Drosophila melanogaster: one gene and its partner. The protein of the gene in region 2 interacts with the protein of the main gene of each other region in a pairwise test. Each region holds a gene or a part of one and is shown on either strand. Other genes may lie near its edges. The genes, in order: CG7069 and CG17139.

Evidence for each region.
Region 1: the proteins of CG17139 (region 2) and CG7069 interact in a two-hybrid assay, tested with the Drosophila melanogaster proteins (one large-scale study listed by BioGRID).

The regions. Positions count from the first base shown.
Region 1 is NT_033777.3:22,367,314-22,383,220, reverse strand, and holds CG7069 (uncharacterized protein), read right to left. Parts: upstream 10,387-15,907; 5' UTR 10,208-10,386; intron 10,156-10,207; 5' UTR 9,985-10,155; coding exon 7,750-9,984; 3' UTR 7,642-7,749; downstream 1-7,641. Other genes in the region: Gpdh3 (Glycerol-3-phosphate dehydrogenase 3), read right to left, coding at 1-16, 79-658, 717-891, 953-996; CG43342 (uncharacterized protein), read right to left, coding at 1,190-1,636, 1,697-1,792; CG34149 (uncharacterized protein), read right to left, coding at 2,083-2,965, 3,020-3,054; CG18596 (uncharacterized protein), read right to left, coding at 3,408-3,555, 3,617-3,787, 3,856-4,377, 4,441-5,004, 5,067-5,252, 5,311-5,960, 6,017-7,186; PyK (pyruvate kinase), read right to left, coding at 10,740-10,752, 10,839-10,995, 11,054-12,443, 13,656-13,697.
Region 2 is NT_033779.5:10,837,262-10,853,363, forward strand, and holds CG17139 (uncharacterized protein), read right to left. Parts: upstream 8,404-16,102; 5' UTR 8,339-8,403; coding exon 7,848-8,338; intron 7,776-7,847; coding exon 7,545-7,775; intron 7,490-7,544; coding exon 7,189-7,489; 3' UTR 7,032-7,188; coding exon of another isoform or gene 6,478-7,031; intron 6,410-6,477; coding exon of another isoform or gene 6,179-6,409; intron 6,121-6,178; coding exon of another isoform or gene 5,820-6,120; 3' UTR 5,753-5,819; downstream 1-5,752. Other genes in the region: CG6700 (uncharacterized protein), read right to left, coding at 2,055-2,208, 2,272-2,479, 2,540-2,744, 2,800-3,535, 3,606-4,927; CG17140 (uncharacterized protein), read right to left, coding at 5,820-6,120, 6,179-6,409, 6,478-7,031; Porin2, read right to left, coding at 8,627-8,957, 9,021-9,245, 9,312-9,637; porin, read right to left, coding at 10,607-10,907, 10,980-11,207, 11,283-11,602; SmydA-3 (SET and MYND domain containing, arthropod-specific, member 3), read left to right, coding at 15,257-15,624, 15,849-16,102.

The DNA of each region.
Region 1 (15,907 bases), on a different chromosome or scaffold from region 2:
GTGACGTTTTTATCGACTTTAAATTAGCGCAGTTGATATTATACACTTATTAATTGATTCATTTTTCTTTGTACATACCAAAGCTGGAAGCCACCGCGTTGGTTACGCCACAGCTCTCATAGAATGTGGACATTTTGGAGGAAGGAAAGAACGTCTTAATGAACCGCATAATTTCCTTGACACCCAAGTGGATGGCTGCCAACCGTGCATTCTCACCCAGACGCAGACCATCTATGAAACCCGCTCCCAAGGCAACGACGTCTGTGAGCGTTCCACACAGCTCTACTCCGTCAACGTCATTAACAGAAATAACTCTGCAGTTATTGGTTTGCATAGCAGAGATCAGCAGCTTGGAATGAGAATTATCGCTGCAACCGATGGTCACCTCACACAGCTTTCCCTGTGCCATCTCCATGGCACTATGTGCAGACATCATAGAGTAGCACGGGATACCCAGACTCTCGCTAATGGCGTGCGAAACAAGCTCAATCCCCTCCCCATTCTCGCTCAACAATCCTTTGGTCATGGAAACAGCAAAGGCCGACTCCTTAACATTACCAGACAGAATGTTGCAGTAGGATTGCACGAACTCCAGCGGGGTGGAAAATACCAAGATATCTGCGTTCTGGGCAGCTTCCAAAAGATCATTTACAGCGATCTAATACAAAAATATTTTGTATAATGCAGATACCAAAACACTGCAAGAATTTCCTTACCAGGTTATTGGGCAGCTTGATCCCAGGCAGATACTTGACATTCTCGTGACGAGTGTTTATGATCTCCGATAGGGCAGTGTCCCGAATCATTTCATCGTAGACATATAAATGCACCCGGCTGTCGAAGTCTCCCTCCAAGACATTGTTGCTCACGACGGCGGCAATGGCCGAGCCCCTAGAAAAGCCATTTGAAAGCAGTTAAATGTGTTTTAGACTTGGTAATTGAAAGAACTTACCAGCCCTCAGCCCCAATGATGCATATTTTCAACTTTCCGGCCATTGATCCAACTTTAAATTAACGAACAACAATAATTTAGGGCCGAAACGCGACCAAATGACCGCCTAAGTGTTAACTGGATGTAGAATGCTTTAAATTTTTATTATGAATTTTGATAGTCCAGAGTTAGGTGGCGTCCAAATGTGAAGTGTATAGGATGAGTTAAGGTAGTTGAAAGGCAAACACCCAACCTACTTTACGAGCAGGGACGAAACTCGTAAACAACCCCGGACGCATTATCCATTCTGTTCTGGGCCCGCATTTTGTGCTCCTGCTGGGCCTCCATTTCTGATATGGCGCGGATTTCGAACTCGGTGATTATCTGGGAGATGCGGCTCTTGGCTTCCGCCGCCAGTTTGGGTGGCAAGCCTTTGACACTGATGCAGGCGCTCTCAAAGAAAAGATCGTAGCTGTTTCTCTGAGGAACAGGGGAATCAGCCGCCGGTGGAGCTGCATTTGGTGAAGTGACTTCATCTCGCTGGGAGCTCAACCTTTTGAAGTACGCCGACAGCACTTTACGGTCTTGTTCGATGCTCTCGACAAGTTCCTGGCGGTTCTGCGGCGTTGGCCTTGAGTAGGGTAGCTGTCTTTTCTGTAGGGCTACGTTGTTCCGTTTGATGAGTAGCAAACTTTTCCTCTCGGTCTGCAAATGCATAATTTCGTTTAAATATTTGTAAATTTAAGGGCAACTTAGTAATTATACCTCTATATGATCTTCTTTAATGTATGAAGCTTTCTGCTCTTCGTTGTCGCCATTTTCAGAGGTCGTTTCATCATACACATTTGAAGTGTTCCACATTCTTATGTTATGAATATTTTGTCACTTAAGCCTTTAAATTGCATTAGCTGCTTCAAATTTAATAAACATTGGAAGAAAACACAGCCGCGCTTTGGAGATGGCAGTAGCAGTAGCCTCTAGCCTATCGATAAACAGTCCGATACCATTTCTCGCACCTATTTTGAATAGTTTGATTCGTATATCTAACAAATAAAGTATATTTGCATTGATCTTATAAAAATCGATAACATTTATTTTTAAATTTAAAATTAATGTATGCCTCTAAATTCATGCTGAAGGACAAGGGATTGTCATGATGGGCGCAGTGCGAGCGATTCATTAGCTTGAGGGTTTGGATTCAGTGCGTCCGTTTGGCTGGTTTCACTGAGGCCGCGAAGCTCGAGCTCACAGATCAGCTGCGATACTCGCATCTTGGCTTCCGCTACCAACTTTGGCGAGAGGGCTTTCACGCTGGAACTGACGCTTTCGAAAAACAGATCCACATGATTCTTCTCCTTGGGCGGCGGTGTGTGACTTAGGGTCCTCTGGCTTCCCATCAGCTCGCGGAAGGATTCCATGAGTTCGTTTTTGTCCTGGTGGATCTGCATTAGTAACTTTATGCCCTCCTGCTTAGAGGCAGAAGAGGAGCTGTCACTGCAATTGGCATGGCTTGACGGGGGTTCGGTCATCTTTGTTGTGACCTCTGTCTCTGATAAGAACTCCTGTTTGGGTACTGTCACCTTCTCACTGGCTGCAGAACAGAGGCTTTGATCAGCAATGGCCATCACGGGCATAGGCTCTGGAGTGGAAGGCGGCTCCAACTCGTGGTTCTCAGCCAAGGGCTCCATCACTACCAATTTACGCTGGTGATAGTACTTGCTACGCTGCTGGCGAATCCGGAACTCCTGGACCGCCGCGCCTTCGCCCTTTGTGAGCAGAGCCTCCAGATTGCGCTTGTGCTTGGTGGTTCGCTCGTGCCGCACCAGGTGGCATCGATTGCAGTCCATGGTGCACTGGCAAGCGCGGCAGAATGGCTTGTTAGGATCCTCGGCCGCCCGTCGGAGCCATGGATCGAAAATCTTGAGCCACTTTTCGCAGAACTTCTGGTTATATTTAGGTTTCAGAGTTCTGTGCTCCTTGTCCAGCTTTAAAGATTTCTTAGCAGTCCGCGCCTTTAGCATTTTGTCTGTCTTCCTATAAGCGAAGCATTCGTATAGAATTTGAGAGTTTCCGGCCTCAAGGACTTACCATTCAGAATCGGAGGTGTTTTCCGAGAAGCTCATTTTCGTCTTTTCGAAGTTGTTTACAATGGGTTTGTTGTGATGTTGTGATTATAGGATCAGCTGTTTCAGGCAAGCGTCATCGGTAAATACTGGTTATCGATAACAAGGCGCGAAACTTTAAGAGAATGAATTATATTTACTTCGATTAATTCACCGAAGGCAAACAAACACATTTAAAAAAATAGAAATAATACTAATAGCTAGTACAATTAAGTTTATATAGGTAATTTATTTTGGGTGTATTTTTTTTAAGATATATACAACACAAAACATTTATATAGTAACATTTGTACAATATTTTTAGGTATTTACTTTATTTGTTAAAGGCATTTGTTGGTGGTCAAATTATGAATTTAATTTAAGTGCTGCTTACAATATTCCCAAATAAATAGTGATCCAGCCACATGTACATTTAGAGAGCGCACTAAGCCATACTGGGGAATTTCGACGGCGTAGTCCAAGAATCCAATAAGGTTCGCTGGTATTCCATGTTTTTCATGCCTGAGGAGGGATGCAGAACAATAAGTTTTCAAAAAATACGCCCAAGATGTTGATTACGAACCCCAAAAGAAGAATGCTTTTCTTGGGAAACTTAAAGTCAACAAAGTTTGTGCTGTGTGCAGTTTGCTCGGCGCCAACGATTTTATAACCCTCCATTTGCTTTTCCAGCAGAAATCCAGCAAGCGATTCTGGATTCACTTCAAGTATGTTTAAAGTTTTCTCAGCAGTCATGCTAAAATAATATAATTATAATTATATAAAGCAATATAATAGGGCTACCGCGATGTTTGACGTGCATACCTCAAGTTTGTAAAATCGCTTTTCTCCGCCTGTGATTTTAAACCCAATATTAGGGTATTAACGCCCAGAACTTCACAGGTACGCGCCAATCCGCCCAGATTTGGCAATTTGTCTATGAGCGAGGCCACCACAATGAGTTCGTGGTCATCTCTAGCTTTGTTCGAAACAACAAAGTCACTCTCCGGATATATATCTCCGACGGGATTCATTTTTCGCTGCACATTTCCGTTTAATGCAGCCAAGGACGTTGCAAGCTCAGGTATCAAAACCGATTGTTTCCGTTTAAACGTTTCAAGGGCGCGCTTTAGTTTCATTCGAAAGTCATAGGAACAACTAATAAAACTGATGTTTTCATCAAATGGTGCATTCGTCATCATCAGAATGCAATCCGAAACGGATGTCGGGCATTGTTTGCCTAGTTCTGGTAACAAAAGTCGAGCTTCGCACTGAAACTCAGTTAATTTTTCGCTCAATGTAACCTTGATGGATTTCTTCAATGCATCAGCTATTGGCATTTGAATGCTAAAAATATCAAAATATTAATAAAATTCGGCAACAAGTAGTATATAATACTAATTTCATTACCTTCGATCCTCGCACTCGCTACAAATCCGATGCAAAACCAATTGGGCCAGCAAACGAGTCTGAAAATTTGCTCCCATTGTGAGAGGCAACAGGACGGCAAATACTTCGACAAGCTGTTCATGTTGTATGCTTTCCCAGCGAGTCAAGCAGTATATGTGGACTACAGAGACAAGCGAAATTTGCTGGCTCGGTTTTAGAGTTGCCAGTAGCTTTAACTGCTCCAGCAATAGATCGATGCTTGGCAGCATTTTGGAGACAAGGTACTCGTACATAAAGCTAATGTTAGGCTGATCGCTAGGGCACAAGACGGCTTCCCACAGGTTGTCCGACCACTTCCATCTGTCGCTTAGGTCGAGCAAAGCTTTGCCTATTCGCATTTTCATTCTGTGCTCTTTGCAGTTTGCAAAATAGCGTGGTTTTTTTCTGGACAGCTCATTGTTCATTCTAAGCAAATCGTCACAGATGAAGCTGATATCCAAACCAGTGCTGTTCTTCGCATATTGAATAAATTGCACACGATCCATGGCTCCAGTATCCGAGATTTGCTCAAATGCGCGTTCAATGCTGCGGAGTTATTATTAACGTTGTATATAGTAATTTCACGAAAAAAATATTTATTCTCTTGCCGTGCATCGCCAGTAGTGGTTTCTCCCTGCAGCATTCTTTTTATAACAAACGAGGTGGGTGCCTTAATATATTCTTCACAGTCCATTGTACCCAAAAGAAAGGTGTTTTTCTCCAAAACGTCCACTACGCACTTTTCATACTCTTCTGACGAAAGATTTTGCACTGCATATTTTAGGATGGCTTGTCTGGGAATCAATGAATTAATAACTTGACTTACAAAAATATAGCGAATATATTACTCACGTTTCCCTGACCTTTAGTTTTCCCAAACGGGATATAAAGGCGGGCAATACATTTTGGTCAGCCAATTGTTCATCATGCGTGGACAATATATTCGACAAGGTGGCAAATGTTTCTTCAGTACCCCGATCCAAAAGTTCCAGGGGATTTAGGTTAAGTACTTCTAACTTGCTCCACGTTGGAAGATTTATCTGTACGAAAAGATCCACAGAGTGCTCGAGCACAAAGGACTTCTCTTCTCTGGTCTGGCAATCCAATCGATTAAGAAGGTGCTGCTGCATCTGCTCTAGACTCACACCACTTTCAAGAAAAGATGTATCTAAATCATAGACAGAGCGATAGAAATCTAAATACTGTTCTGGATGATCCAGTTCCCGATGCAGAAATATGGGTAAAAGTCGCCACCAGCCATGTTTGGATTTTGGAACTGTTCGTAATTTCTCCAAGAACGCAACAAATACATCGTGTTTATAGTCCATTTGAGATACAAGTTCACAGCAACGAATGTTGAAACTAGCAATATGTTTTTCTAAATTGCTGCAATTTCTTATTTTCTGTGCTAGTTGTGAATGAGATTGATACCGGTCGATGGTATTGTACAAAGACTCCATGAAGAGGAGGTAATCTCCCAATGACAGGCTGTCAATCGTCGCCTTTAATGGGATTAAAGTCAAAAAATTGTTAAAACTTCTATATAAGTTAAACTTACACTTAAGGAGAAAATCACATAATTGATGGCTTCACCACGCAAAACCGGATTTTGGAGGGAACGAACGCGAGCGCCCAACTTAAACAGCAGCTCCTTGGAAACCACCGGCAGCTGCTTTAGCTCCCATGCTTGAAGCCAGTGGATCAGGGGAACTGCATGCCACGGAACGCAGACAAGCGCTTCCAGCAATATCTCTGCCGGGAATTGTGCACTAAAATCAGTTATTTGCTGCTTAGTGAGGCAATCGGGCACCTCTGGATTGTACAATTGCGTCCGATTGGTAGCAGCAAGGAATTGTGTTAGAAGATTGAAACGCGATATCTGTTCTAGGCTAAAATGGGATAGGAAGTACTTCAGGGTCCAGCGCAACACGAGGATGTTGTTGTCGCCCAGGAGGCGTATGCACAGAATCCTTAGCCAATCCAGCCAATCCTCACTCAAATTGTTAGACATCAGGCCCATGCGCGGCAGCAGGGTGCTTAAAGTGGGCAGCACAAGATGGGACTGCTGCTCCTCGAGGTTCTCCATGATGCCCACATACGCGCTCCACTGAACCTCACTGCACTGGAGAGCGGCAAGCACTTCGTCGATCTCCTGCAGCTTGTGCATAAGAAAATACGCTGAGCGTCGATCATCGCGCACATCAGACTGTAGAAGATTCCGCGTTAGCACAAGCAGTTCCTGGGCGCATTCCGTTCCCAAGTTGTTGACGAAATCATCGAAAAGGTGTACCAGGATCTGGGCCGCATGTGGTTGCCGCTCATTGCTCTGACTCAGCGACCAGAGCTGCTGCAGCACGAACTTGGCTTCGATACGCGGAAACTTCCGTATATGAAGCTGCACGCAGACCAGTAAATTGGCCACCAGTTGACGCCGGCTGGCCGAATCCTCACGACTGTCGGCAATCACCACGGAGACCAGTTTGTGAAAAACTTTTGGGCCAAAGCGGACGTTATACTTGCTGTTCGTCTGCAACAGGTTGTGGATGCACTGCAGCACACGCTTCAGGGCCAGCTCGTTGTCTTTGTGCATGGACACCAAATCGTACAGCATGTCGTCCAGCTCAGCGATCTCGCCAAGCAAATTCTGGTTCTGAATATACGTTTCCACAGCCTGGACCACAGCGTGAGTGGTCGTGGCCGTGGTGGCTCTGGTCGTGGGCAATGACATGGTAGTACCTTTTTCTCGCGATGAAGAACCCTCTAAACTAACCCTTTGTTTGGTTTAAATACTGTCAACATCAAGCAGCTGGGAGAATTAGAATTTCGCCATTCCTCATCATGTGGTGAAATCACTTGCATACGATTAATATCGAATATTTCATTATCTTCATCATGTGGTGAAATCAATTGTAGGCGATTAATTTCGAAAAGTTGACTCTATAAAATATGACTTTTAGAGGTGATGTCCAATGATTACAATGACTTCGATCTTATCAGTGGAGGTGTGAACGTGCATAATGACATAGTTTAATTTGGTTAGCAGGTATGAAATTATTACTTTTCAAAGAACCGATAAGCAAATGTGTATTTTCCAATATTTATCGATATGCCCAAATTTGAAAATTTTCCGTTCGCGCCTATAGTCAAATAACTCGACAATAGCGTTCTTTACATTGTTTTACTAGAAAATTTAAAAAATTCCAATAGTTTTATATAATAATTTGGAATTCGGTGTGTAACACCGTATTAAAAGTTAAAATGTTCCATATAAATCTGCCATTAGCTTTCACTTTATTTCTTGCCCTTTTTTGATTTGTCCGGATCCGAGAGAGATTGCTTTAGTTTTTCGCACACAGCTTTCAGAATCTTATCAGCCGATTCTGCCGCGGCTTTTTCTTTTGCATCCTCTATTTTCCTGCACATCTCTGCTGCCTTCTTTCTCTTTCTTTTCTCCGCAACCTGTTTCCATTTGTTTTCCATTTCAGCTAGCTCCCTTTCTCTTTCCTTTCTCTTGCACCTTTCAGCCTCTTCCCTCTTTTTTTTCGCTTCATTTCGTTGCTTGCACTTCATTAGTTCTTCCTTCTTTTTCTCTTCCTCCTTCAAACGCTTGGCCTTCTCAGCAGCTTCCAGTTTGGCCACTTCTGCTTCTATTATCTTAAGTTCTTCTTCATTCCTTTTCTTCTCTTCAGCCAATTTGCATTTCCTATCTTCTTCCAATTTCCTGCACTTTTCAGCTTCCTCTTTCCTTCGTTCTTCGTCCGCTTTCCTGCATTTTTCAGCTTCTTTCCTTTTTTCTTCAGCTAATTTGCACATCTGTTCAAACTCTTCTTTGCACTTCCTTTCTTCAGCTTCCGCTTCTTGCATTTGCCTGCACTTTGAGATTTCGTCATCTTGCTTGGGACATTCTTTCTTCGGACAATCTTTCTTCGGACAATCATTCTTCGGAGTATCATTCTTTTTGGGGCAGACCTTTTGCTTCTCTTCGAACTGTTTACATTTTTTGGCCAGTTTTTGCTTCTGACATTCTTCCGCTTGCTGGAGCTTTCTGCATTCCTCCTTTTCAGCCCTCTCCTTGCAGCTCTGCTCTAGGGCCAATTTTCGGCATCGCTCATCCTGATCGCGTTCTTCCTTGGTCTGCTGACGGATAGTGAACAGCCGGAAGGTGATCTTTTCTGCCGACATGGCATTAACCAGCACCACCGATCCTTTCTGACCCGGCTCCAAGATGTCCATCTTGCCCATCAGCTTCAGGCCCGACTGCATGATGCGTCGAAAGTTAAAGCTGCCAATAACCATTTCCTCAACGAGGAGTGGGTAGATGCCGCGAAAGAGCAGAGACTGGGCCGCCTCGGATTCGTTACCCGTGAGCATGACAATTGGACATGGCGGCCTCATGTGACTGACCATTTGGGCCACCATGGAGCACGGACTGGCCACCACAATTGCCCGGGCTTGGCCCACCGTGGCCGCCTCCGCGATCGCCGTGGTAACTGCCGAAATGTGGTCGGCAGCACTGGTCCGGATTTCCCTTTTAAGGCTGTTCTGCAGGCTTTCGTACCATAGAACTGCTTCTACTTTGGCACAGATCCTGGCCATGCACTGGACGCACTCCACCGGATACTTGCCCTTGGCCGTTTCACCGGACAGCATTACGGCATCGCAGCCATCGAAAATAGCGTTGGCCACATCCGAGGCTTCGGCACGAGTGGGTCGCGGCTTGTTCGTCATCGACTCCATCATCTGGGTGGCACAGATCACAGGCTTGCCCACCTTGTTGCACTTAGCCACAATCGATTTCTGGGCTAGGGGAACATCCTCCGTGGGTATCTCAATGCCCATATCACCTCGGGCCACCATTATGCCATCTGATTCACGGATAATGTCGTCTATGTTTACCAGACCTTGGTGGTTTTCAATCTTAGAGATGATCTTTATACACGCTCCAGCCGGTCCAAGTACTTGGCGGATTTCCTTCAGAGCATTTGCGTCTCGTATGAACGATGCGAAGATCATGTCCACCTTTTGCTCGGCCCCAAATTTAAGATCCTGCTTATCCTTCTCCGTTACGCTGGGAAGATCTACCGGAACTCCTGGCAAATTGATTCCCTTGTGGGAGCCCAGCTTGCCACCGTTCTCCACCTGACAGATCACTTCATCTCCCTTTGATTCCTTCACGATCAATGCAATCAATCCGTCGTCTACAAATACCCGATTTCCTGGTTTGACCAGTTGAGGTAGCCTCTGATAATCCACATAGATATTATCCTTGTTACTCTTGTCTGCCATCTCCTTCTTGGTGCTCAATGTCACTTTGTCTCCGGTCTTGAGCTCTATCTCAGCCCTATCATTGCCACCGGCCAGTTTGCCCGTCCGGATCTCTGGACCCTTGGTGTCCAGAGCAATTGCCAATGTTCTGGGCAGACCCGTTTGCTCCACGTACATGGCGATGGCCTTACGAGCCGCCTGTATTGTCTGGCAGTGATACTCGTGAGAGCCGTGAGAGAAGTTCATACGCACGACCCGCATCCCAGCCCGGATGAGCTCCAATAGCTTTTCTGGGCTGTTGGATGAGGGTCCAATGGTGCATATGATGCTGCTGAGGGGGATACTCAGGGCAGGTGCTTGGTACTGCAGTCGCGACTGGTAATCCAACTGGGAGGCGAATGGTCCGCGGTCCAGTCGGAACTTCGGTGGTTTCTGGAAAGAATTCATAAGCGGATGATTGACTCCCAACGTAACAACGTCCTACCTTCTCTTTCTTGCATTTGCTGGCATAGCAGCGATATCTTAGGTTTAACAGGCAAGTGGAACATATGGGCACTGTGGACCCTGGACTAAGGATTCTTGCGTATGGATGAATTTTGAATAAATTTTGATACACCGAAACAAAAATAAAATGTAGTGTTACCTGTCAAAAACGAATAAAATCAATTGCCTATAGGGAACTGGATGTGGATCTCGTACATGCAGACCTAATACCCAAAGGTTCCAAGTATAAGGAGAAAATGGCACATTACTTTCCATACGTACATAAATACAGTGATGACTTTATTATAATTTTCGAAGAAATCTCTATTATTCAACAATGGTATAGTATATTTGTGTGTCTGTTTGAGGCCCGGGCCGGCCTTCGGCGCTTCTGACAGCGGTTCCAGCAGCCTCCTGCAGTTTCCAATATTCCGAATATTGTGTAATTAATAAATTAACTTGGTTATTAACAGTAATCAACGCGACGCCCGCGGCAGCTGCGACGCATCCAGGTACTTCCTGAGCGGCAGAATTTATTCGACGGTGCTGAAATGATAGATAATTGCGTTAGTTTTGTTGATATAATTTTTGCACAGATACATATATATCTACATGCTAGAATTTAAACTTACACAATGCGGATGGTGTTGGTGAAGCCGGAGCCCTGCTTCCAGCCGGTAACCACCACGACGGAATCGCCGGTCTTGATGAAGCCGTTCTTCTTTCCGACCTGCAGACCGAACTGCACGCGCACGTCCACGTCCTTCAGCCAGTCACCAAGACCGGGCTCTGCAAGTACAAGCCAGAGTTATAATTTAAAGAACGACCTGGAGAAACAAAAACCTACCCTTGTAGATGAGTGGCACCAGTCCACGGTAGAGATGGGCCTGTCGGGCGGTCTGCGCGAAACGGGTGACCGCGATGATGGGGCAGCGTGGGCGGTACTTGCTCACCTGGAAGGCCGACTTGCCGCTGGTGGTGATCACCACGATGGCGGAGGCCTTGGCCTTGGTGGCAGCCTCAACGGCAGCGATGGCAGCCGCGTGAGAGGCATCGATGGTACCAGCGCCGCGAACCAAGTCGTTAAAGAGGTTCTGGTGCCAGAGGGCAGCCTCGGCCTCCTTGCAGGTCTTGGCCATGGTCAGGACGCACTCCAGCGGGTACTCGCCCTTGGCGGTCTCACCAGACAACATGACGCAATCAGCACCATCGAGCACAGCGTTGGCCACATCAGAGATCTCAGCGCGAGTGGGACGTGGCTTCTTCACCATTGACTCCAACATCTGAGTGGCGCAGATCACAGGCTTGCCAGCCTTGTTGCAGCGGGCAATCATGGCCTTCTGGGCGAGGAACACCTTCTCGGCGGGAATCTCAATACCCAGATCTCCACGGGCCACCATAATGCCATCACCGGCCTCGATGATCTCGTCCAGGTTGTGCATGCCCTGCTGGTTCTCGATCTTGGAAATGATCTTGATGTTCTTGCCCTTCTCGCCAAGAACCTTACGGATCTCGGTCAAAGCAGCGGCGTTGCGGATGAACGAAGCAAAGATCATGTCCACTTCCTGCTCCACACCGAACAGCAGATCGCTCTTATCCTTCTCGGAGACGGCAGGCAGATCGACGGGCACGCCTGGCAGGTTCACACCCTTGCGGGAACCCAGAGAGCCGCCGTTCTCCACCTCGCAGGTGAGGGAATCCTTGCCTACCTCGCGGACAATCAGTGAGATCAGACCGTCATCGACGAACACCCGGTTGCCGGGCTTCACCACATTGACAATGTTCTCGTAGTCCACGTACACAATCTCCAGAGAGCCCTTCTCCAGGAATTCCTTGTTGGTGGTCAGCTTGATCTTCTCGCCCTTCTTCAGCTCAATCTCGGCGGTGCCGCTGCCTCCGATCAGACCGGTACGGATCTCGGGCCCCTTGGTGTCCAGGGCAATGGCCACGGGGTGTTCGTAGCCCAGCTTGGCCGAGTAGTTCTTCACCGCCTGGCGCACATTGGCCACGGTGGCGGCATGGTACTCGTGCGATCCGTGAGAGAAGTTCATGCGCGCGATGTTCATGCCGGTGGCCATCATCTTCTCCAGCATCTCCACGCTGCTGGAGGCAGGTCCGATGGTGCACACGATTCCGGACAGACGCACATGGGGCACTGGCGAGTCGAACTGCAGACGGCACATGTGCTCCAGTTGGGTATCAGCTCCTGCGGCCATGTTTTGGGGTACTTCGTTGGGCTGCAAAATGAAAACTATACTTAATTCTGTTTGTTTTCATTTCTCTTCATATTTATAAACAGCGCGAATTGATTCTTTATTTTTAGAAATCAACACGCTGATTGCCAACTTTTGCAATAAAACAGGTTAAAGTCGTGTTTATTGATTTTAAGCATTTATTTCCAATTTACGCTAATAATCAGAAGTCTCTTCCTAGCAACAAGAAACCCTACGCGTTTTAAAAACTACCAAGTTCTAGCAAAAAATAAAAAAACCAACTAGTTTTATGATATTAAAATCATGCCCTGGTGAAGTCATGCAATGCGAAACACATTTAGGACCCCAACATAAACGTGGCGAATGCGTGCAAAACTCATGATAACCCTTCTTCATATCAACGAATATAAATCGATACAGTTTTTATCGACCAAATTAAATGTTTACCACCGGCTTATAAATAGAACCAAACGGGCCAAATACGGCGATTTAAGCCCAAATGCTCGCCGCACCAATCATTTTTCATGACCAAAAGGAATGATTGAAATATTTGTGAACTGACAGATAAAATAGAGCTATTTACATATAAAGGTAATGATTTTAAATAATCTAATAATCCTAATTAAAATGATAACGTTATATATTAACAGTATTTTATCATTCTGATGGTACTTAGTAGCATGTGTAAATAAGCCATTGATAAAACTTGACATATAAAATGTTATAATCGATTACCAATATTAAATGATGCTGTTGCGTTAAATACTATTTGTTAACTCTTACGATTGCTTAAATTATCAAAATATTTATTCGCACTGTGCATGTTATGTTTTGAAAAACGCAAAGCTGTCGCTGCAGAATTCGCTGATGTAAACAAAGTGCGTGTACTTGAAGTGCTTGAGTGGATGGGCGTGGGTGGTTAGGGGTGTCCCCCGTAGAGAGGACCTGAGAAAGGCAGAGCGGAAGAGAGAGTGGCAGAGAGAAAGCAGCAGGCGGAAGAAAAGTGTGCAGCGAAGCCGACACCGGCAGCGCTGCACATCTGCACCGCCGAAGGTCAGTTCTGCCGACCGCGACCGACAGAATTTTCTCAGCTGCAGTTGCATAATTGTCTTTTCCCACATTTTCCTCCCCAATGACTCTGATATCGGGCCAACTCGCCAGCCAACTGATTATGGCGATTATGAATATCTTTATGGACCAACTCTGGGGGCTTCCATTACCGTGACATTGGCCTACCTTCAGCTGCGGTGCCTCATCGTAGATGGTTACGTTCACCATTTTGTTGCCTACCGAACGGGTAGTATGTAACCAACGGGAATCGCACTTGGGATCGAGATCGGTCTGACGATATAGACGACTATATCTTCTTGCAACTGCACACGCAACTCCACGCACAACAACACACACAACGCAGCGGCTAGCCGAATGCAATATTTTGGCAATATATCTTCCAAGTTTGAGACGAAAATCGGGATATATGGAAAATCGGACGCGGCGAGGACGAGACAAAAAGTTCGACTGCCACACAGATTTTTTGGCAAGCGGAAATTTTCCTAGCCGCAGAAAAAGCGCTCAGAATGTCGGTAGCCCGACAGCAAAGAGAGCATAAACGCAGAGGAGAGAGAGTTTGGGCCCAAGAGGCAAGAGGCGGACGCAACAGGCCACCCCTAAAGAGACAACATTGGTGAGCGAGCAAGAAGGGTATATTCAAGGGTATGCTCGACCAGGGACTGCCAGCTGCTCAGTCGACCAAGTGGCCTTACCGCTATTCCCAATATAATTCCGAGTGAAATATAACCTTAATCTTACAATACTGCATATAAAAATTAATAAAGATATTATCAAATGGAAAAGATAGAGGCTCAAATTATCATTCGATATTTAAGTATAAGTAAAGTGTTTAGCAGGATCAAGATATGCTATTGTGCCAACATACCCTAACTCCCTTCGCGTAAGGGGATGCGAAAAGTTTATCCAAAAAGGAAGCTCCGAAGTTAACTGGCGCAAAGCTCCGTTGCTAGGCTGGCCGGCAATCGGATAGAACAGAAGGTTCAACGATCCATTACGATTATTAATTTTTGCATATAAATTTGCATTGTACAGAAGTATGTGTATATATGATTATATGGACACGTGATGTCAGTATGTGTGTGCGTGGTAAACAAAAAACCGATCATCAGCTGTTAGACGGCGCTTATCAGCTGGCAATACAGAAAAAAAGCAACGCGGAAAAGAGCCCACTGTCCAACTGTCCCACTTCCACCTAGAATTCCACTGTGCTGACCTTGACAACCTAATCTCCTCCACAGAAAACAGCTTCGTCTCGCTCGCACTGCCATTATGCAAGTGCGTGAGCATCTACTTTCCTTTTATCTTCCGCTCTCTCTTTCGCTCATCGTGAGTGACACGCGCAGAAACCGTGCAAGTAAAGCTCGCCGGCCTGCAGCTTTTGTCGCCGGAAAACGCACGAGAAAAGTTCTGAAAGTGAAAGTGCTTTTCCAGGCTTCAGTCAATATGTAATGAGTACTATGTGCCGTACTATTTAACCTTGAACTTGTGGATAAAGGACGTTAGCGCCGTTAACATTTTGAAGCTCGGGTCTGCAACAACAAATGCTTATCACTGAGACGCCGAAACAGCAACAAAATTTCAAATATAATTCAGACAATCCGGCACAGAGCAAATTTATGCAAAATTACTCATCATCGCTGAAAGCGTCGTCGTCACAGAGCAATTAAACAATTGCGATAGTGGAAGTTTACAGCGGTTCAAGATTATTATTGCTGCATTATTTCCGATGGCATGTTTAATAGGGTGTGATTGCGATGGTGTAGGTTATTTTACTTGTGGCGCGCTCCGCATGGAATGACTTCTATTTCACCTTTACACATTTCGCTAACGAGGTTCTTTTGAGATTGTATGGGTGTGCGAATTGAATTCGCAGCCGTGCTTGTGTGTATGTGTTTTGTGAGGCGGCAAACGCAATTCTACATAATGTGGAGAAATTGCTTGCATCATCAACAACAGCAAAAACAAATGTCTTGCCCCCGCCAATTTCGTTAGCAAAATTTCTAGCGTATTATAATGGAATGATGTTTAGCTTGAGGTCGTATCAAGAAGATCTGATAATTACCTGTTTTTGACAGTAAAGGTGAACTCGCGGAAAGATGTATTTGCTCTTCCTGTTTTGGAATTATTTTAATTCAATTTAAATGCACAGGCAGCGAACACTCCAATCAGAAACAGTGCGTCCGGCGATCTGTTCGAAAAAACAGTTGGCACCAATGAGCCTAAAAAAGCCACTCGTTTTTAAAATAAATACCATTTGGTATATACATACCAGATTCACGATATAACATTTGGGGTCTTCGGAAAGCTTTAAATTTTATTTAAAGCAATTTGTAATAAAGCCTAAAACATATGCTCCTTATTTATCCTCATTTATTCAGTTGCGTAAAGTATTATTTTTAATAGAACAAACTTATATT
Region 2 (16,102 bases):
TTATATTTGTACGCATACCTTTTCAAAAACTATATTCTTGTAATTAAATAGATTAATTTATGGTAACTATTAACAGTAGTTTATTACACAAAGAAATAAATATTTCTCTCCACTCTTCTTTCGGTCACTTCACTGACAATAAGATTTAAGGACTCTTTTTGAATTTCAGTTTCTTTTGATTATCTCTGTGTGGTCCTTCGATTTCAGTTTTCAGCGCGATCCAAAGAACTCGAACGCCGCGCGTTGACTGAAGCTAAGGCCGCAACGCAGCATCCTTAAATAGCGGCTGAACCTTCGCCAGCATCCTTTGGATGTTGTTGAAAGCTCGGCTGACACACTACAACAAGCTCTAAATGGCGTGGGTCCTGGCTAAAGCTCCCGCGATTCGTCAGCAGCTGGAAGAGGATTGTTGGAATAACGACCTTGTGCTGAAAGGGAAATTTCACCAAGAGGAAAACACCAGTTGCTTTGTTTTGTGGCGTTTATTGTTAAAAGCGGGATAATAGCACTCCCATTTCATGCAATCGGGATGCCATTGTTTGCATCCATAGATAGGGGAGCTTTTGAAATCTTGAATTCTTTTCAATAGTTTTCCAACATTCAAGAAAATTAAAAATATATTAACAGTTAAGCTTAGCCTAAAAATATACCTATAATCCTAGCCTTTTATATAATTACTGTTTAATATAATAGTTAGGATTCTAATCACACTCCCTCTAATAAAAATAAAAAAAAAAACACTGATTACAGATTCTTAGCCAATTACTTATGTGGTACCCCGAAGTGTCCAACTTTTTGTATACAATCTGCTTTAGTAAAGCGAATTAAAATTGGAAGAGCTTACAAATGTCGTGCATATTTGATGACTTGTTGAATGCCTTCACGGATGTTTAGTGGCGACGGGGAAGACCAGGTTGAATTTGCCATACTCCAAAACGTTGAGTTTGAACTTCCGATAATTTTGCATGCAGGCTGGATCTCGTTGCAGTTGTAGTTCGTGGTGGTGGTGGATTTGATGGTTGTATATATATACAGGTATACAATAGAGAGACAGAACATTAGTATAATCCTTTTCAATAATTTAAATAAGACAACAATCATTAAGCCTAAGCTTAAAACTAGTTTAAAAATGAAGTGATCATACGGTGTATAAATGAGTAAAATAACGACAAAAAAACAAAAATGCTTTCTCTGCCCAAAGCCTACGGGCTTTTCGGGTTCCGTGATCGCTTCTGATTTTGTTTATCTGCATGTGTTAGTTTTGATAAAGTTCATATTTAGTAAGGTTGTTATTCAAGAGGGTCGCAACCCTATTTGGAATTGATTCACTTAATTCTTGACCTGAATAATATATTCATTGAAAGGTCACGCACTTAAGGTTTCAGGTTGCTGTTGAATTCAGACGAGTTTTGATTTGCGGATCTTGCTCGATTTTGGTGGTATACAAAAAAAGTATACAAAGATGGTTGAGTTTTTAAAGAGGTAATGAAGACCAACGCTGTCACAAATTTTCAGCACACCGCGCCAAATGATAAGGTCCAATGTTAAAATTATTTCAGACGGCATACATTTTTCCACCTTTGTTAATCCTGGAAAAAGGTATTCGTCGCTGAATCCATGTTGAATTTAATCCATATGAATCCTTCCATGTAATGTCATTTCCAGAGTATGGCATCATCGATAATAATGTACGCCTTCTAAAATCCAAGGCTACTCCAGAGCAAATCTTCAACATTGTTTTCAATGTTTCCTGTGATGCATTCTATATCATTTTTCGTTGAATTATTTTCCATCTAAAAACTTTAAACCCTACGAAGAACAGTTGGTCCTAAATAAGCGAAGACTTCAGCCTAAGAATGGGAGTAATTCAAGTCCTAACTTTGTAACGAAAGGGAATCGCGATCTAGAGAAATATATACACAAATTTTTAAACAGGGCCAAGAGAGTTGCATCCGCAGTCCGAAAAAGGACACTAACATCCGAAAAGCTCGGAAATCAGGTACAAAATCGAATAGGGCTTCATGCCAGCTAGTCTGCTCTATATGAAGTGTGATTCAAATAGCAATAGCAGCTGCATTTTTGCAATCAACTTGCGCACCATCGGCGGCATATGGCAAACTGAAAGTGTCGAGCCATTCCTTGCACTTTTCTGAGCTATCGAAAGCCAGAATTTTGGTAATATAGTCAACGCTAATGTTAGGACGATAACTGAAAAGAAACAAATGATTATTATTACTAATAATTAAAATTTAGTGGATATAATATACTTACGACTTAATAATGACTCGCAATGCAGCTTTGCGCTCTCTCTCCAGGAACCATTCAATCATGTGGCCGGACATAAGAGGCGCCGTCCTGTACAGGGAAAACAATTTGCAGTAGTTGCCCAGCGACCACGCAGATCGGAACTGAAGAGCGTGCGCAATGACAGGATTTTCACGTTGATCAGCCGTAATCGAACGCATGACAGTGGTGATGTCTGGAAACCATAAGCTGTGTTAATTTTAATCGAAAATATATGAAACAAAGTCAACCATACCCAGAGTATTCTTTGTGAAAATGTAGTAGAGTATGCGATAGGCGGTGAACTCGAGGGCATTGGCGTTTTTACCACCGATCTCCATGTACAGCATCTTAAGTTGCGTCTGGCACTGATTGAACTCCTCGTGGTCACCCTTCTCCATGGCAATGCGTGCGTGTGTCTCGTACACCTCAACCGTAAACTGATCACGAATACCCTGGACCTGTGAGTACATTTGTGTTAACACTATTTCATATCTTTACTCGGCGCATACTTACAGTCAAATCCTGCCTTATGGACTTAAGCTGATCACACGCGTAGTGATAATCCTGATTGGCACGCCATTTTCCTTTCACATTAACAAGCGAATGGGTGAGCACCTCGACAGGTCGCACCTCTGACGGAGACGGCGCCTTTGTAAGACGCAAAAATGACTTTTCTAGATCCCTACAAGTTCCTACAATGTGTAAATCGAGAAGATCTATACCGCTAGCCGCCTCTGTGTCTTCGTAGAAAGCTGACCGTTGGTGCTGCTGGTGTTGCTGCACCATTTTCTTCTTGTTCTTGGCCGTGGTGAGACCAAACGGTGAGCTTGCAATGGCGACGACCGATTTTTTGGCCGAGCTGGAGCCCTGCTGTGAGAATCGTGCCGCACGCTGTTGCAAGCGCGCTGTGTCATCATCAACGGCACCGCCAACAGACGACTGATTGGAGTAAAAGTGAGGTGTGTCCTTTTTTTTCATCTGTGCTGAGGCCATAGCAGCTGCGCGCTTGCCCTTCTTCATCAGCATTTTTTGCTGCTTGCGGGATAAATTCGCGGTGAGTGGTATGAAATTCAGAGATTCGTTCGAGCCCGATTTGCGAATAATCTTACGCGCCGGTGGACTGCTGGCATCGCTACTGCGGGAACACGATCGGGAGCGGGGGGATCGCGAACGGGAACGCGAACGAGAGCGCGAACGCGAGTACCGCTTCTTGCTCGAGTACTTTAACGAGTTTGAAGATGACGGCGACCTGCGAACGATATAAACATCCTGGTTTATGACACAGTTTCAATTCGATCAATAGAGATCATAAAACTCACCGCGACCGACTCCTGGAGTACTTGGACGACGAAGAGTGATGAGAACCGTAGCTGGACGAGGCCTTGTTGAACTGATTGCCCTTCTGCTTGAACTGATTCACTATACCCGTGGAACCTTTGGCAGGTGACTTATCCGCTTCGCGGTCTCTCTCTCGCTCCCTCTCCTGTTCTTGCTTCTTCTGAAAGTAGTTGCTTCGCTGCTGCTGCGGCGGTGGCACATTGCTTAGCACCACATCAATGCCGTCTCTCTCGCTGTACACCGTCGGCATGGGCTCGTTATCCCAATCGCGTGTCCACAGCTCGTTGCGATTGGCCGCCGCTATAATCTTGCCTTTCAGACATATGTCGATCTGATCCTTATCCAGATCAGTGTTGCACTTTGAATAGCAACGAGCAACATATTGGTTGAGGGAATTCGGCCAGGAGTCGCTTGAAGCCATTTGAAAACTGTTTGGCCGCTTAAAATTTGATGTTTGGGATGTAGCCTCTCCCGCTCTTTGTGCTGCCATGTGCTCCTGCTGCTGCTGCTTCTGGTGTTGGGGATTCTCTGTGGGTGCCACAATGGCCAGGGGTAATGGAGGTGGTGGTTTGCTCAAGTCCGGATTAATTGGTACACCTACATCGCTGGCGCTAATGATGGGCGGCGGTGGAGCTTGGGGTGTGGCTGGGGTTTGATTGGCAAACGGATTGCTGTATGTTGATTGCTCAAAGTTCTTGTTTTTGTTATTCCGCTTGCGCTTCTTTTTGTTGCTGTTGTTGTTATTGTACAATTGCATGACCTGTTGCTGTTGTTGATGTTGTTGTTGTTGATGCTGCTGCTGTTGTTGTTGCTGCAGGGGATTAGGAGCACCGGCCAAACGCTTTTGGTTTAAATTCAAATTAAAACGTATTCCCCCGAAATTTTTTTGCTGCTGCTGCTGCTGTTGTTGTTGTTGCTGCTGTTGTTGTTGTAATTGTTGTTGCTGTTGTTGTTGTTGTTGTTGTTTGTTTTGGCCAGGTGGCTGACCTATTTGCGGCGGAGGCGGAGGGGGCGGCCCTGAGGGCAGAGGCGGCGGTGCAGCCAACGCATTGCTGAAGCCCGGCGGCGCATTTGACGTACTGACCGTCGAGGTTACCTGCTGTTGCTGCTGCTGCTGGTAGCGTACGTAGTACTGGTAGTACTGCTGATACTGCTGCTGGTAAGCAGCATTTTGGTTGGCATACCAGGCGTAATTGCTCCACTGCTGGGCGAGCTGGGCGGGATTAGCGCTCTGCTGCTGCTGTTGCTGCATCTCCTGCAGCTGCGGAATAAGGGGCGGCGGAGCACTCATGGCATCTGACATGGTACTCCCACAATCTGCCTCTCTTGGTTCTTTGCTAATTTCTTTTTTACCTGAACTTACCTTTGGGTTTTTGCGATTTCGGCCCCTGATTTCATGACAAAGGGTACCAAAAATGGGAAAAATGTGCGCATTAGTCTGTGTGTATGGGTGTGTGTGTGAATGTTGGCATGTGACGCCATTTTTATTTCTTACCTACTTCTTGGTCACCGAGAACTGGCACTTTTTGCTTCGATTTGCTCGTTTGAAACGCCGTTTTCTCCAAAATAACTTATTAAAAAGGTGGCGCAGTGCAAAAATATATCTGCATACGCACGAAAACACTCGGAATACGCTATTTTTTGCCTTATTTTCTCACGATATATAAACACGTCCGAACAGTTGAACTATTTTTTCGTATAAAGAAAAGGAGACAGAATAATCGATGACTAGATATGTCGCAGTGCTAGTGTGGCCGTAGCTTGCTGAGCCGAAAATCCATTCCTATAATTTAAAAGATGCGCGCCATAATAGCGGAGGAATTGTGGAATATGGAACATGTGAACGTTTTCTATTTATTTATTTCTTCGTTTTTTGGACGTGGATTTAAAAAAATAAAAAATCTAAGTATCTATGTACGATTTAAGGATTTACGATGTAATTAAAAATGGAATTGTCGTTAATTTCAAATCGATTTTTAATATTAAGACTGTTGTAGAACAATAAAACATTAAAATATAAGGTACAATACGCTGCAGTATTCAGATTCCATTAATTAAAAATAAGTTTTACTTAGTTTACTTACGGAAACCACCAAAATCATGATCAGATAAGTTAGAAAAACACTTTGTATACAAATTATTTATTTATATTAATCATGTATAGTAAAATCATAGTACATAGTAAACCATTCTTTTCAACAGTGAAAACCCCAGGAAACGCCAATCCTATGGGCTCCACCAATGGGATCTACTCCATCGAAGGCCAAGTGATAGCCAACATCGATGTTCTCCCCAATCTTTGATTGGTAGACGAACCCCATTCTGGAGTCCTCCCGCAGCTTGGCCTTCACCATGGTGCCATTCTGGAAGTCGTACTGAACCCCAATGGCAAACTGTTTCACATTTTCCGAACTGTAGAGATTCGTCTTGATGGCAAAGGCCCAGGCTTCGCCGATCCTTTGGAAGATCGAGCCTCGAAGATCCTCGAAATTCTCGCTACAAGTAAAATATAATGGGATGTTGGCTATATTAAATAAGCTATTGGACAACCTACAGTTTTAGACCCACTTCGGTCCTCCCATTATTGTAGCCCAGGCACAGGGCGTGCTTATCGAATCCCTTTTCGTCAAAGTTGTACTCCGTTCGATATCCCAGCACCCAATTCTCTACAGGCGCCACCAGGACATAGCCCAGAAATAGGGGTTCGTTGTACAGAGGCACCACCAGTTCCACCTTCACGGGATCGCGCTCCAACCCGCACTTCAGCTTCGTTTGAAAGCTCACTCTTCAGGGTTTAATTTGCATAGTTTTTAATGCTGTTAAGAAAATTCTGAAAAAATGGAGGACACTCACTCGTCTTTTGTGCCAATTGTTGACTTGAGCAGTCCATACAATCGACTGCCAAAGTTCATGCCGCGCACAGCGATCTCCGAGAGAAGATCATTGTTGGTGAACCAGCCGAGGGACGTGCTGTAGTTGCCCACTTCCTTGAACACCTCCATGCCGCCAAATACGTTCTTCATGGTGGGATAGCCCTCGCCGAAGGTGTTCAGATAGAAGTCATTATCGGTTCGCGTGCTGCAGTGCATCTGCCATGCGCCGATCTTGAAGCCATTGATGAGGCAATCCTTCGCCAAGGCGCCCACATGGAAGTAGGTGGGCATTTCGCCCTCTGACGTTGGCGAGGGTATTATCTCCACTTCGACTTCCTTGGGTGGCTTTTCGGGCTCTTCCTGCTTAGGTGGCTCCTGCTTGGAGGCATCCTGCTTAGTTTTCTTCTGTTTGCTTGGCTCCTGCTTAGGTGGCTCCGGCTGCTCCTTATTCGCATCACTGGCCACTGTAGTGGGCCGTGCGCGCATTTTGTTCCGGCGAAACAAGTTGCGCAGCCGTTGCTTCATATTTGTCATTTTGAAAATACTTTAAAAAAATAGCAAAAATAAATAGGTATAAATTTAAAATTTTGATTAAACGATCTGACACCGGAAACATAAACTTCTGATTTGTTTTTCAGTTTCTCCCCATCATGACATAGAAATGAATACAAACGTATGTTTGCTAGCCATCCTACATATTGAAGTACCATGATGAGCCGAACTTGTGCTTCCCATTGATGGGATCACTTCCTTCGAAGCCAACGTGGAACAGAACTTCGATGTCTTCGCGAAGTTTTTTCTGAAAGATAAGCCCGATGCGGGAATCTCCACGCACTTTGGCCTTCAGCATGCTTCCAGGTTCCCACTCGTACTGACCTCCAATGGAGACACTCTTGGCACTCACGTTTCCATACAGGTTGGCCTTCAAAGCCACTGCCCACTTTTCACCAATGCGCTGGAATATTGATCCTCGCAGCGCCTTGAAATTCTCACTGAAATATATAAATGTAGTTTTTTGCGGGTTGGAGGATGTTGGTTGTAACCTACAATTTCAGTCCGACTTCTGTGACATCGTTACTATATCCTCCGCAAAAAGCATGCATATTGAAGTCCCTATCCTCCACATTGAACACCGTGCGGTAGCCCAAGAGGTAATTCTTGACAGGCTGCATCATAATGTAGCCCATCAATAAGGGTTCCTTATAGATGGGAATATACATTTCCACTTTGCCAGGATTGCGATCGAATCCACACTTCAGCTTGCATTGAAACTTGCGTCTGTAAAGAATAATATGTACTTACGAAAGATAATCTCTTGAATCCCTTCCAGCAAATTCGAATCCCACTTACCCTTCAGGGTAGCTGACCATAGACTTCAATACAGTGGACCATGTGCCGCCCAGCCCATCACCATGCACTCCAAGATCCGATAGCAAGTCTCCATCCGACAACCAGGCGAGGGATGCATGAAAGTTTCCACTCTCCTTGTACGCCTCCAGTCCGCCGTAGACAGTGTTCCATGTTGGATAACCCTCGCCGAAGCTGCTCAAATAGAAATCCTTTTCGGTTTTCGAGGTGCACTGCAGCTTCCAGCGGCCAATGGTGTAGCCGTGGATGAGGCACATCTTGGCCAGCAGACCAACGTGGAAATAGCTGGGCATCTCACCCTCCATCGGTGGTGGCGGCAGCATCTCCACCTTGTTCTCCTCCTTATCTTCTTCTGCACTCCGGTTGTCCTGGACATTGCCACCACCTTCATCGTGGGGTTCCAGGTAATCCGATGCAGCCCGCTTTCGCTTGTTCCTTCTGAACAAGTTCCGTATCCGTTCTCTCATGGGCATTGTGCCATATAAAAAGTACAATAATTAAAAGAAAAATTTAATTAAACACACTTGAAATTTTGGAGTTCTTTGGAAATTGGATAATAATATCGAAGCAGCTGTGATCAAAATTAACAAGATTATTTACTTTTAATTTGTAATATTTTACAGCCTGTATTTAAGCTGCTTAATTAATTACTCAGATTGTTATATTGCCATTATGAAGAACAAAATATATTTGTCATTTGAATAAAGATAAACTTAAAAATAAATTTAGAAATTGAAATCGTTAAGTGATTGGCAGTCATTTTAGCACTGGAGGGCAATTCCCACGCCGAACCGATGGTTTCCGTCCTTAAAGTTGTTGCAATCCAGCACGGCGGATATGGAGGCGGTGATGCCGTCGCGCAGTTTCTGTTCATAGCCCAGGCCCAGCTCCACCAGGTTGTTGACCTTGGCGCGTACGAGGGCATCCTCCTCCAAGTGGTAGATCATGCCCAGATTGACGACCACATCTCCGCCCTGCTGTTCACCCTCGGCAGCTTCGCCGCCGCCGGCTCCCTTGGTTACCTCGATACCGGCATCGATCTTCTCGCTCGCCTTGTAGAACAGCGAGGCCAACCAGGTGTCGCCGTTCTTCCTGCAAATTGATTAAAAGACATAAGATAAAGTCTTCCCACATCTCGTCACACGGGGAACTTACAGCTCGCCATGGAGGGTGGCAGTTTCATTTGTCCAACCAAGGGCCACCTTCCAGCCCTTGAGTTCGGTGTTGCCAACGTCAAATTCGGTGCCCACGCCGCCGAGGAACTCCTTGTGGCCCACAACCAGCGAACAGTTGAGTATCGGCTCCGAGTTCAGTCCAATGTCGGCCAGGAAGTTAAAGTTGTCCTGGGCATAGCCCATCTTGAACTTGCCATCCGCCTCACTGTTGACCCGAGATGTTTATATAATTAAAGGATGCTACCTAAACGATCCCCAAAGGAATACGCACTTTGATCCCGGCTGAAACTTGGCCTCGACGGCCAACATCAGGCCCTGTGCCAACTTATCCCGGTGCATAATCTCACCGAAGAGCCAGTTCTCCGTGTTCCATCGCTCGGTTAGGGTCAGGCCTTGGTCCTCGATCTTGTACTTGCTCTGAAGCGAGCCGGTCACCTTGCTGTTGTCCTGGCTGGCGAAGCCGGTGGTGAAGAACTCAATCCCCGAATTGGTCAGGGTCTTGCAGTCGATCTGCCAGATGCCCGGATGGTAGCCGCGCTTGAAGAGATCGCGGGCCAGCTTGCCCAGATCTGGGTATGTCGGTGTTTTGGCGGCCATTACGGGCTGTATGAATAGGTGGTATGGTATATATGGCCCGACTAATTTCGAAATTTTTTGTCTACTTTTCAACAGCCTCGATTAGCCGAAAATTTATGTCTAACGCTGCCTGATCAGTATCGAGTTTTATACACGCTGGAGACCTGTGAACTAAAACGCACGGAGTCCTGTGCCCAACCGAAAAAGTTAAGTTTTTCAAGCACAAAGAACTTGGGATCAGTATAAGGTACTTATCTTATTATACAGTTTTTTCTTTCAAGCTTAAATCCTTAAATTAAGCTAACCATTCCCAAGCCTTCCACCACCAACGCTGCAATCAAGATAATTTATTTCTTCTCGATTTATTTCTCAGGTAAATGCACAACGAAAAGGTAAAGATTGTTATTAAGGATGTGATTTTGGTGTTATGTGTGTCCTAGTTTCGCCGCAGGATTTTGCAGGCAATCCGTAAAGCCTTGAGAACTGAAAAAAATGCAATGCCTTTTGAGCCATAATATTCCGTCTTTTCCATTTTGTTTTTTTTTTTCGTTTAATAGGTAAATGTATTTTTACTGCACTTTTGTCAACAACAATTTCGCTAATATTCAATGCACTAATCAAAGCTACATCCAACGACGACGGACTGACCTGACCGACCCATCGATTGCACCACCCATCCATCCCCCTGCATCGTTTGTTTGGCAGTGTCTCTCCTGCAGATTCGCGTGGCTGGGGCAGGGAATGGGCGGATGTGGTGATGGCCGGCTGACAACTAATCCAATCCAATCGAATCGCTAAGATGTGCAGATTCTCTTTATATTTGACTGTGTGTTGTTTGTTTTTAAAGAATATCGTATCTTTTATTTTGTTTGATCTTGTTGTTGTTTCTGCACTTGTCTGGCTGCTGTTATTGTTGTTGTTGTTGTTGTTGGGCGTGTGGGGATGTTAGACAACGTTCAAGGATTTCACGACTAGCGGAAAACCACGGACTTAGGCCTCCAGCTCCAGACCCACACCGATCTTGTGGCCGCCGGCATTGAAGTTCTTGCCATCGACCAGCGTGGACAGGGTCAGGGTGACTCCGTCGCGCAACTTCTGCTGGTAGCCCAGACCCACCTGGCTGGCGTTGTTCACCTTAGCGCGCACGCTGGCATCATCATCCAGCTGATACTTGGCGCCGATGGCGAACTTGGTGTTGCTGGTGCCGCTGGCCCACGACAGCTGTACACCCACATCCAGCTTGTCCGAAGTGCGTTGGAAGATCGAGCCGCTGAACTCCTGGCCATCGTTGCTAAACACCGGACAAGGCAATCATTAGTTTGCATTGATTTCATTTGCCATGCGTGGCAATTGCAATACTTACACAGCTGTGTGCAGAACAAAGTCCTTGGTGGTGTAGCCAAGGGCAAAGTTGTTGGTGGTCAGCTTGGACTGTTGTGTGTCAAATGCGGTCTGGTAGCCGGCCAACCATCCCTGGTAGCCAAGCACGGCAGAGGCATTGATCAAGGGGCCCTTCAGATCAATGTTCACATCCGAATCGGCCTTGACGTTCTCATGGCCGTAGGCAACCTTGAACTTGCCGTTCTTGTTTCTGACGATTTTTAATTAAATATGCAATATTAATTATTCTGCAGTGAACATATATGTAATAACATGTGATCCTTACCCAGACTGAGGAGCAAAGTTGCCCTCCAGGGACAGCTTCAGACCCTCGAGGAGCTGATCCTGGACAGCAACCTCGGTGAACAGCGTGTTGTCTGTGTTCCACTTCTCGGTGAGGGTCAGGCCGTAGTCCTTGACCTTGTACTTGGTCTCCAGGGAGCCGAAGACCTTTCCAGACTCCTGGTTGGAGTGTCCGGCTGTGTTGAACTCAATGCCCGACGAGGTCTTAGTCTTCAGATCGAGCTTCCACAGGCCAAAGTTGTAGCCTTTGCTGAAGATGTCGCGAGCCTGTTTGCCCAAATCGCTGTATGATGGAGGAGCCATCTGGAATGGATTGAAATGGAATGCATTAAATCGCACCTTCAATTAGTTGGTGAATAATCGATAATCATGACGATGATACTTATTGCGAAATCATTTCACTCGCCAGGTCATTAATTGCGTTTAGCGAACGATAAGTTTAATCTTATCAGCAACATAATGATTATTACTTTTTGCTCGACTTGATTTCAAAATGTTCTATCGGCCGCAAATGAAAAGTGAAAACTAAAAGACGCCAAAAAACAGCATCAACATGTCCCAAGAATTTCGAGGGCTTTTTCCCCATTTTCACTTTGGCTAAATGTCAATTTTGTGCGGCGAAAATAAAGAAATCAATTTAGATTAGTGTTCAAGGCGGCCACATGCAAAGAATCACCAACTGAAGCAGCGAAAATTCTGAGTGACTGAGGAGGGGGTCAATGCACGTCTGGGCAAAATAAAGTGGCGCAAAAAATAGAAGCGAAGATAGAAAACAAATAGTGACTAAGTCTATTTTACTCCAAGAAATTAAGGGTTTTCTATACCAATGCAAAACCATTTAAATCAAAATTTATTTTTCAAATATTTTTATAGGTTTTTTAAACTAAAATTTTAATAAAAATACTGAGATTTTCCCTATTTATCTGGCCACAGGTTTGCCTCTCTCTATGTTTACGTTCCGTTCTTGCTGGCATTAATTGCTGGTCAGTTCAGTCCCGTTAGGCTAGCGATCATTGACTCAGAAGCTAACTGCACATTTGCAACGTCTGCTGTGGTCACTGCTTCGCTGTTTCTATTTGCGTGACGTCAGGAATGCGACTCACAGTCGCGGTAGGAATATTAGTCGCGGATAAATAAATTTCTATCCGATATTGAGCATAAAAAAAATCAAACAAAAATAACCCAAAACATCTAATTGAAATTATTATATAGATATAACAATATAAATATTTCATGTTGTGTTCGGGGGGATTGGTGGGGGGAAACTCAAGGCAATCAAGGCAGAAAATTATGAAAAGCAGCGGCCAGCAGACAAAAATCTTTATGGCCGGCAGCCAAACGTTAAATGGGATGGGCTCTTATTGTTCCGGAAGTCAGGTGATATAACCTGGTCACTAGATGCTGAAAATAATACTATCAGGTGGATGTCCCGGTGAAAATGAATCAGCATCTCGTTGACGATGACCTTGACAAGCAGATTATAAAGGGGGTGGTTGGGTGGATGTGCAGCTCATTTTTTCGACAGTTGCATAACAGCAGGGAAATCGATGAGGGAAAGTGGAAAGCTAAGTGAATAGCTGCCCGAAAAGGTGGTCTATTGATTTTCCAGGTGACGTCACTGCGAAAATACCACCCACAATCGCGAAGTGCACCCACCTCCTCACATGACCACAAACAAACAAAACGACGATAAAGAACGGTAAAGAGTGAAATCGAAAATGTTTATTGAGCGAGCTGCACGCTGGTGGATGGCAACATGACGATAACGAACGGAATTGATGCGACATGCGTTACGTAACGGAAATTCGCCAGGCACTTTTCCATCGATCTCTCTGCTTCTTTGCCCCCTTTTTTCGCCGGCAGCTGCTGCCAATGAACTGCGAAGGCATTGGTGTGCGTGGACTGTTCATGTGTGGATGTGTGTGTGACAGCTAACCGGCTTAATATCCCCTTTAAATTTCGGATTTATCAATTAATTATTGCGTGATTTGGTGATAAGAAGCTCGCCCATCGTCATCCAACAAAAAAGTGCTCAGCCCTTTTGCTTTTCGTTCATGCGCGTGTCTACTTGCAATTTTTTCATTTCGAGGTTATGAAATCACTGGCACCGAAAATCCTGATTTTCCTTCTACCCATAGGGGTATCCATCACATTTCACTGAATTTTGAGGGGGTTTACTCCTGAGCTACTTACTTTTGATGAGTTTTAGTTTGGTTAGAGTGTAATGCGAAACGCAGAGGAACAGAGACACCACGACAAACGTACACCAAAAAATTTTGTAATTCTGTGCCTTAGTGTTACCAACCCTAAAAATTCGTCCAATAATTATTCCCTAAAACAAGCCGCAGATATACTATCTGGTAACGCTGCGTCACTCTTAATGGCAATGGTCACACTTTTTGTAACGGAAATTTGAAAACTAACGGTTACTTAAAATAATTATTGAAATTAGAATTCAATCATTCTATTAAGAAATTCGTTATCTTAAGAACAATTAACTTACATCAAAGTGTTTTTTTTTTACATAAAAGGGTTTCCTGCAAACGAAAACTTTAAAGTTGTGGACAAGTAAATGGGCTTTAAAAAAGTTATAATCCAAAGCAATCAAAATGCAATAAATATATTACAACTTTATTGATTGACACCAATGAAGTGTGTGCGATGCTCTTTTTATTTTTAGACGAATCTGCGTGCAGGGCCGCCAATCGACCGCATAATCCCATTCGGATGGGCCAAAAGCGAGACCAGTGCATTTGCCGTGCGGCGACAGAATGTTGAAGGCCCGTCTGCAGGAGGACGCCGTGCTGGGACGCTGCTTGGCCACCTCTAGCTCCGTGGAGCGGGGCGAGCTGGTGCTGGAGGAGCTGCCCTTCGCACGCGGACCGAAGCGCGACAGCGGAATCGTGTGCCTGGGCTGCTACCAGTTCCTGCAGTTCGGAGAGGACGGCGATTCGCTGGACCGCTGCGAACTCTGCGATTGGCCGCTGTGCGGATCGTGCGCCGACGACGAAGACGTCACGGAGCACCGCGGAGAGTGCCAGGTCTTCTCCGCCGCACGTGTCACTTTCGCCGGGAATGTGAGCGATGATGGCGTCTGCCCGCAGTTGGATTGCATAACCATATTGAGGTTAGTTCGCGGGCGCTCCAGCGGGGCGGGGGTGATGGTGCTGGGTACATCCGTACAGCAGGGGCTACTGGGTGCTACTAGGGGAACCTGGGCGGTCTGTCCGAATATTAGTTTTGGCAGCAGCGGCCCATTTCTCGCAGTTCGCAGGCTAGCCGGCATATACAGATTCTCATGGCGACTCTACGTCAAAGAAGGCGGACGGATGGATTAACAAGTCTGTGAAAGGGACAGTGGAGCAAATCGCACAGAAAATAAAAAATAAATAGCTAAATTTAAAGTGCATGAAAGTAAGGAGAAAATTATGGCATGAAACAAGCCATATTTGTACATATTATTATGACAGAATAATTGGTATATGATAGTTGCGGCGCGTTATGATCAATGTACCATCATGTTTTTATATATTTCGTAGCAAAACTGAACTGTAAGCACTGTGAATTATTATTTAAATAATGTTAAGCACATGTTTAAATAGATCGGTGCTTAGTACTTAGAAATAGAACTAACAAAGCCAAGCAACTTAAAAGTTACAAGCAACTTAAAAGTTACAAGCAACTTAAAAGTTACAACCAGTAAATTATTTAATTTATGAAAATGTAAGGTATTTTAGTTATTATAGAAATTGAACAATGTTTTCTCAAGACAATTTGTTCAAAACTAAAATTTCTCACCTAGGACCTCGCATGCCCACTGTGCCCAGCAATTTTGATGCTTTATGTCGGAGCAGGCAGAAATGTAGTCATGTAGTGGGGAGGAGGCATCATCTGTGGGGTGTGCCCATGACATGAGATCTGAGATCTGAGTGCGGCCAGCCGGCATCAGTCAGCGAAATGACATCGCCGCCAACGCTGTCGGTGAATAGGACAGCGGTTCAGTGGAGTCCGGTCTGCGGACGCTATCTGGTGGCCAAGGGAGCGATCCGTGGCCACGGTCTGCTGATCGAGGAGCTGCCCTTTGCCGTCGGGCCCAAGTGCAATGGACCGGTGGTGTGCCTGGGTTGCTACGAACCCAACCCAGATCCGGAGGAGGAGCTGTGTAGCGAATGTGGCTGGCCGCTGTGCGTGGAGTGCGCCCAACAAGCGGATAACGCCCATTTCCGCCTGGAGTGCAGCCAGCTGAAGGATGCTCGGGCACGATTCTTCCGCCTGCCCAGCGGCAGCAGGCACTGTCCGCAATTGGACTGTATTATGCCGCTCAGGTGAAGCCCAGCGGGTGGAACAAAAATAGACCACCAGGCACCAGGCAAACTGATAGCGTCACTATTTTATCCGCTCAAGATGAAAGTTATATACAAAAGGATTCATTAACAATTAAAAAAGAGAAAGATTTTTAATTTAATGTAGCTAATTATAATCAATAGGTTACTTGTTGTGCTTCATATGATTGTCATTTGGAATACCCTTTTAAACTTTCTACTTTCAGAGTTCTGTTGGCCAAGGAGGCGAATCCGGAGCGATGGGACAACGAGGTGGCACCCATGGAGCACCACAAGGAGGAGCGCCAAAGGGACGCGGATGTCTGGCATGCGGATCGCGTTAATATCGCTCAGTATTTGCGCGGTCCCTGCCAACTGGCCAACCGATTCAGCGAGGAGCTGATCATGCAGGTGGTGGGTGTGCTGGAGGTGAACGCCTTCGAGGCGCGCAGCCCGAAGGGCTATCCACTGAGGTGCCTCT